Sus scrofa: one gene and its partner. The protein of the gene in region 2 interacts with the protein of the main gene of each other region in a pairwise test. Links are inferred from orthologs where the notes say so. Each region holds a gene or a part of one and is shown on either strand. Other genes may lie near its edges. The genes, in order: HBQ1 and RFESD.

Region 1 (3,936 bases), on a different chromosome or scaffold from region 2:
CAGCTTATGGCGATGCTGGATCCTTAACCCACTGAGCGAGGCCAGGGATTGAACCCACAACCTCATGGTTCCTAGTTGATTCATTACTGCTGGGCCACGATGGGAACTCCTGTCTTTTTTTTAAACAAGCCAACTTGTAATTCAGTCTGAGGTCTTGAGTGCCTAACACTTTGCGGGTCCCTCTGCTGGCTTCCGTTCACGGTGCCTTGTTGCCCTGTGTGCCTGGTGAGTGTGTAGTTTGTAATGACAGACCTCTTTCTAGGGAGGGTTTCTTTGCTTCTTGAAGGTCCCTGGGGTCTGTGAGGGAGTCCAGGGTCATTTTCACACACGGTCTGCAGCCTGGGAGGTTTTGTCAGGAGGACCCCTCTGGTGACAGGATTACAAAGCCACACATGTCACATGTGATTTCAATTTATCAGGGAATTACCTTCCCTTTTCTGCTGAACATTAAGATTTTGGGGGGAAGTTCCCTTGGGGCACAGGGATTTAAGGATCTGGCTTTTTCACTGTAGTGGCTCGGGTTCGATCCCCAGCCCAGGAACTTCCACATGCTGTGGGTGTGGCCAAAATTTTTGTTTGTTTTTGCTTTTTGGGTTTTTTGTTTTCTGCGTCCCTGTGTCTGAGGAAAGGAGAGAATTGTCCAGGGGGTACCTTTTTAGGGCTCCAGGTTTATGGGGAAGAGTCACCTTTGGTCACTTCACTTTACACTAGCCCTTTTATTTATTTATTTTTATTATTATTATTTTTTCTTTTCTAGGGCTGCACCCGCGGCATATGGAGGTTCCCAGGCTAGGGGTGGAATTGAAGCTGTAGCTGCTGGCCTCCACCACAGCCACAGCCACATCAGATCTGAATGGCGTCTGCGACCTACACCACAGCGCCTGGCAATGTCAGATCCTTAACCCACTGAGTGAGGCCAGGGATCGAACCCGCAACCTCGTGGTTCCTAGTCAGATTCGTTTTCTGCTGTGCCACGACGGGAACTCCTGGTGGTTCTGTTTTATCATTAGTTATTGCTGTTCTTCTCTTGCCATCCTAATTTATACATTAAATTTACCATAGGTGTGTATGTATAGCAAAAAACTATATTGGGGGTTTGGTGCTTTCTGGGGCATCCACCGGGGTCTTGGGACATACCCCCAGGGGTGGTGGGGGTCAGCTGTTGCACCTGCGCCCCCTGAGGGCACCCCCACGCCCTGCATCTGTTTCCCCACTGTTGGGCAGGGAGGAAGAGGCTGGGCCAGACTCGCTAGATACACAGGCAGGTGCAGCGAGTGGAATCGTTTTCAGAGGTTTCTGCGATGGCCATGATTGATTTTTTTTGAGGAGCTCTGAGGTCTGACTCCTGAGAAGAATGTGGCACGTGGGCGGGAGGGGCTCTGGGCTGACTCCCTCATCCACCTTGTGGGCCGCATGGCTTTGTGCTGGAGCAGGAGCCGCCTCCTTTCAGCAGATCCAATCTGGCAGAGCGGCCTTTCCCCAAGTCCGCAGCAGTGTTGACGTGGCGGGTGCAGGGTCCAGAGGCGCTGTGTGGGGTCGTGCGTGTTGCCGCCCTGGGCAGTTCCGGTCCTCGCCGGCGGGGGCGCTGGTCCCCGCTTCTCGCCCAGCCTGTGAGCTGGACCCGCGCTCGGGTCTGGGTGGACCTGAGGCGTGCACGCCGCGCCCGCGAGAGGTCCAGCCGCGGGCAAGCCCTTGACCCCTACCCGCCACCCCTTCCCGAGCGACCGGAGCCCCGGGTCTGCGCCTCCGCGTGGCCCTGGCGAGGGGCCCGGTGAGTCGGGGTTTACCGCGGGGAACTGGGCGGCGGCGAGGGGTGTGAGCGGGCCGGGGGTGGGGGCGTCCGCGCCGGGAGCTGACAACGGGGGGTGGAGAGAACATGCGCACACCTGAGGCTTTGACCACAGACTTTACTCCAACCCTGGAGCCCCCGCACGCCCCCCCGCCCCGATTTAGCGACAGTGGGGGGCCAGCGCTGAGGTCACGTGGCTCAGAAACTTGTCCAGCGAGGCCTGCAGGCCGGGGCTGAAGTCTCCGGGGTAGTGCCGGGCGAGGGTCACCAGCAGGCAGTGGCCCAGCAGCTGCGGAGAGGGAGGCGTTCCCGCGCGGGTGCGGCGCCCCTTACCCGACGGCGGCCCTTCCGCCCACCCCCCGACCGGCCTCGGGCCCGGCCGCGCGCTCACCTTGAAGTTGACGGGGTCCACGCGCAGTCGCTGCGTGTGCAGCTCCCGCAGAGCCGACAGGGCGCGGGGCAGGTCGTCCAGGCGGTCCACGGCGACAGTCAGCGCGTCGGCCACCTTCCGGCCGTGCGCCTTGACCTGGGCGGAGCCGGGGTTCAAGTCCAGGTGGAGGAAGTAGATTTTGGTGGAAGGGAAGGCCGCGAAGGTCCTGCGGAGGCAGCGGCGGGTGAGGCGCAGCCTGGGGCCGGGGGCCGAAGGCAGCTGTGCCGGGAGGCGGGGGCCGTGCGCACCTCTCCAGGGCCTCGGTCGTGTAGACGCCGACGTTGCCATCCAGCTTCTTCCACAGGGCGCGCACCGCAGCCCGGTCGGCCGCCGCCAGCACCATGGTGGAGCCCGCGCGACGCGCGCTCGGCCCGCCGGTGGAGCCGCAGCTGCGCCTGCGCCAATCGGCGGGCGGTCTCCGCGGCCTCCGGGGGGCGTCGCGCGGGGCTTCGCAGAATCGGGCTCGGCTCGACTCGGAGGGGCTCGGGAGCGCGCCGTCGGGTGTCCGCTGGGACCTGAGGCCTTCCTTCCCCGAGGCCCCGATCTTTGAAGTGTTTCCTGTATGGAAGCTAATGTTTAGTACGCATCATTGTTCATTGGCAGCTCTGAGTTCTAGCACGGGTTTTGTCTTTGAACGTCTGCCTCCCCTGCCCGTCTGCTGTGACCCCTTTCTGAGTCTGTTTTCTCATTCACTGGGTGTGGTGAAGGCAGCAATTTCTTCTTCCCAAGGCTGTGCGGGATTCATAGAAGAAGCCCCTTTCCGGACAATGAGCATTTATTGAGTGCCTGGAGTCTGTCCCCAAATAATAGCTAATACCGATGCAGCACTGTTGTTTTTTTGTTTTTGTTTTTGTCTTTTTTTCTTTTTAGGGCTGCTCCCGCAGCATATGGAGGTTCCCAGGCTAGGGGTCTCATCGGAGCTATAGCTGCTGGCCTACACCACAGCCGCAGCAACACCGGATCCTTAATTCACTGAGCGAGGCCAGGGATTGAACCCGCAACCTCATGGTTCCTTGTCAGATTCATTTCTGATGCGCTAAGATGGGAACTCCTTTTCTTTTCTTTTTTTTTTTTTAACTACTTTTATCGTTTATTTTCCTTTTTTTGGCAGCCCCATGGCATATGGAGTTCCTGGGCCAGGGATCAGATCCGAGCAGTTGGAACCTAAGCTGTAATTGCCTCAACGTCAGATCCTTACTAAACCCACTGTGCCGAGCCAGGAATCGAACCTGTGCCCCAGCCCTCCCAAGATGCTGAGGATCCTGTTGAGCCACAGCGGGAATGCCACAGCACCCATTCTGTGCCAGGAATCACTATACCCCTTTCTTTTAAAAACTGTGTTGAAATTCATACAGCATCAAATTTACCCTTCGCCATTTTCAGGTGCACAACTCAGCATCTCTAATCTCGTTCACGGGTGTCAGGCAGCCATTAGTGCTAGCTAGTTCCAGAACGTTTTCATCATCCAAATGGAAACTCTGAACCCCCGAGCAGTTACCTGTAACCCCTGCTTCCAGCTCGGCTCTCTGTCTCCGCGGATTTGCCCATTCTGGATGTTTCGCATGAATAGAATTGTGCCGAATGTGGTCTTGTGTCTGGCTTCTTTCACTTAGCACATCTTGGAGGCTTAACCACATGCCAGCATGTATTGGTATTTCATTGCTTTTTATGGCTGGATAGCATTCCATGGCACGGATAGATCATGTTTTGTTTGTCT
Region 2 (3,822 bases):
CTTGCCTAGGGGAGAAAGCTCTTTGTCAATCCTTAGATAACATTACACATGGTTCTTTACACTTTTTGAAACTTATAACCACTACAATCTCTATCCTGAGATAGGGAGGAAAAGCAGGAATATTTCCAGAAATCTTGGGATAGCAACGCTAATGAAAAGAAGGTAGGAATGATAGTTTAAGGATTAGAAGTGGAGAAAGAATAAATATAGAAATTCTTGACAAAACAAGTTATATGCTTTTATTCAGAAAAGTATCATAGAAAATAAAAACTGAAATAGCCCCATATGTGAGGCCCTCAGGAAAACCCTCTACATAAGGCCTAACACCCATGACAATGATGTATCTTGCTGTTTCTTTCTCATATGGAATTAACAGCCTATAACTATGTACTTGAAGTATACAGCAGGTATCTTTGAAAGGGTTACTTTCAAAGAAGCAGGCTGAATATCTGTGCTGAGAAAAAAATATATTTAGAATACCTGCACATTCTCTAAAATTTATATATGTCTATAAATTGACGTCATCTTCTTGAATGCTGAAATAAGACCGAAGAAAGTAATGATGTTTTCTATCTTTGTTAAGAAAATGAAAGATGTCCACTCACACTTACCCCTGCTACTAGAATACAGTTACCTGTTTGATCTGTAAGAACTGGCTGTCCTCAGTAGGTATAACCAAGTGAGCTACCTCAATGAAGAGGTACAAGGCTATTCAGACTATCGAAGTCATCTCTCTTCAACAAAAGCCAAATACAACATTGACAATATACAGATGTTGTTTAGCATTGAATTTGATAGGGAATAAAAGAATAGTGATACTTCAGTATCTAAGGAGTTCTGAAATATCTTATGCAATGAACTGAATCAACTGAGTCCAGCCACCTTAAAGTGGGGGAGTCCACTCTCATTTTGGTAAGCTCAACAGCTCTAACTCAAAATCATGACTAACTATAATCCAGTATGTATGTATGTATTATTTATTTATTTATTTGCCATTTCTTGGGCCGCTCCAGCGGCATATGGGAGGTTACCAGGCTAGGGGTCTAATCGGAGCTGTAGCCACTGGCCTACACCAGAGCCACAGCAACGCAGGATCCAAGCCACGTCTGCGACCTACACCACAGCTCACAGCAACGCCAGATCATTAACCCACTGAGCAAGGGCAGGGATCGAACCCACAACCTCATGGTTCCTAGTTAACCACTGCACCACGACGGGAACTCCCTAGTATTTATTTTATATAGCTACAAAAAACTGCCTCCATTAGACTTCTCTTATGATTATCTCTGTAAGTTGAGTGTAGCCAAACTAGTGAAGACCATTTGTGGATTTTTGTTTTTGTTCAACTAGCATGGATATTGATGCCTCTGAAGAAGATCCTGAAATGAAGAAATCTTCTGCTGTCTGTGTTGGCAGAGAAGAAGACATTAAAAAATCTGAAAGAATGACAGCTATTGTTCATGATAGAGAAGTGGTCATTTTCTACCACAAAGGAGAATATCATGCTATGGATATTCGCTGTTACCGTAAGATTTTATTTTTCATTTGTAAACCTTGTACTTGTTTACTATCCACAAAACTATCAAAATTTGATTTTTTTTTTTTTAGTGATTAGATGTAATATTCAATTCCTTTGCAGACTCAGGAGGACCTTTACATTTGGGAGACATAGAGGTATGCAAACTTAAATCGATTCTCAACAAACTCAGATGTTTCCTATTTATATTCTTACTATATTTACATTCTCTGTTCAAAAATAATTTATATTTGGGTTTGAATTATATTTTAATGCTTTGAATATAACTGCTGATATTCTAGGAATTCATAACCCTACAATGTAAAGAAAACCATTTTACAAATATGAGAAATGGGTATGTCTTCTGATCTAGCAAATACACTGAGATCTACTTTACATATTATTGCCAAATGTTCAAGTGTGTGTGTTTGTGTGTGTGTGTATACACTCATAAATATATACACATATATATGAGATTCATTGTAGCAATATTTTTTAAATTTAATTTTTATAGCCACACCCATGACACATGGAAGTTCCTGGGCTAGGAACTTCCACAACTATAGGCCTATGCCACAGCCAGAGCGACCTGCGATCTGAGCCACATCTGTGACCTCTGCCACAGCTTGCGCCATGCTGGATCCTTAATGCACTCTGAGGCTAGGGATCGAACTTGCATCCTCATGGACACTGTGTTGGGTTCTTAACCCGCTGAGCCACAACGGGAACTCCATTGTTACATTATTTATTGTAATGAAAAACTGAAGGCAAGCTATGTTTTAACAATAGGAAACAGTTTAAATTATGAATATCTATGCTATGGAATACTATATAGCCATTAAATTAATGAGGCAGACCTATATGTGTTGGTATGGGATGGTAACAATATATTTTTGGGTGAAAAAAGCAAGTTGTAGAATTATAGGTCTAATGAGATCTCTTTTTTAAAATAAAAATATTCACTTTTCATTTCATATACTTCCCCATGGTTTGATTTTTGCAGTGCACATATATTACTTCTTTAAGTAATAAAATATAAATGAATATATTTTAAGAAAGAAATAGCACTTTGAAGGCTTAACTGAGGAAGGAATGGGGGAACTGTCTTACTTCCTTGCATTCCCAAACTAGCTGCCTAATTTCCTATTTTCAACTTCATGAAACTGATCTCTCTCTGCAACCACCCCCCATCTCTCTGACTGGTATACAGTACATGCTTATACTTATCATTCCACTTTCTATATTTCATATCAACCTAGTTCCACACCTGCCCTAATGTGAAAAGATGTGTTTAAATTATGAATATGAATTTATGAACTGTGAAAATGTTGATTGATGACAGTTCTGTGCAGGTACAGAACAGCATTTCTGCATTTCTGGTGTAGAGATAAAATATAAGCACCTGAATGATAATGTAGCAGAATTTCCCTCAGTTTCAGACCATGACGAAAGCTATAAAGCCTTGCTACTCAAAGTACGGTCCATAGACCAGCAACACTGGTAACACCTGGGAGTGTCCTAGAACTGCAGAATCTTGTACCCTGCTCTAGGCTTATCGAACAAGAGTTACATTTAAACAAGGTTCAAGTGGTTGTCATGCTGTTTACAATTTTAGGAACACTGCTTTAAGACCATTTAAAAGTTGGGAATTAACCACTTTGGACCATAAATTGGTCTTCAGTTAACATATGCATTTATGCCTTTAGTAACCTCTATTGAAATTATATATGAAAGCTTACTATTCTTCCATCAGCCAGTGAAAACTCATTTAGAAGCACTTGTAGCCCTTGCCCCCTTTCTGTCAAGGAAGTGACAGTAATATCTAACAGATAACAACACAGCTTGCAGTCCACATGGTATAGTTGCCTGAGCTACTTATCTTGTGATAGAGCTTTAACACACAGGGTCTCTCATCAACTGCAGAAGGGACTTGATGACTACTAAGATTAGGTTCTGCCTTATACTAAATAATTTATAAATGAGAGGAAAAGAGAGAAGTCTGGGGGGGCGTTATGTTTGTGCTTTTTGCAGTTGTTTTGTGTGTGTGTGTGTGTATGTGTGTTTTGTTTTATTTTCTTTTTAGGACTGTGCCTGTAGCATATGGAAGTTCCCAGGTTAGGGGTAGATTCAGAGCTGCAGCTGCCAACCTATGCCACAGCCACAGCAATGCAGGATCAGAGCTGCATTTGAGACCTACACCAGAGCTCACGGCAATGCCGGATCCTTAATCCACTGAGCAAGGTCAGGGATTGAACCTGCGTCCTCCTGGATACTATTTGGGTTCGTTAGCACTGAGCCACAACAGG

What was found.
Region 1: the proteins of RFESD (region 2) and HBQ1 interact in binary tests that used the Homo sapiens proteins (3 or more experiments, as listed by UniProt). The two-hybrid records come from large-scale screens. The link is inferred for Sus scrofa from reciprocal best matches to the Homo sapiens genes RFESD and HBQ1.

The regions. Positions count from the first base shown.
Region 1 is NC_010445.4:41,477,528-41,481,463, forward strand, and holds HBQ1 (hemoglobin subunit theta-1), read right to left. Parts: upstream 2,626-3,936; 5' UTR 2,563-2,625; coding exon 2,468-2,562; intron 2,386-2,467; coding exon 2,181-2,385; intron 2,079-2,180; coding exon 1,950-2,078; 3' UTR 755-1,949; downstream 1-754.
Region 2 is NC_010444.4:102,250,048-102,253,869, forward strand, and holds part of RFESD (Rieske domain-containing protein), read left to right. Parts: intron 1-1,350; 5' UTR 1,351-1,351; coding exon 1,352-1,526; intron 1,527-1,639; coding exon 1,640-1,674; intron 1,675-3,822.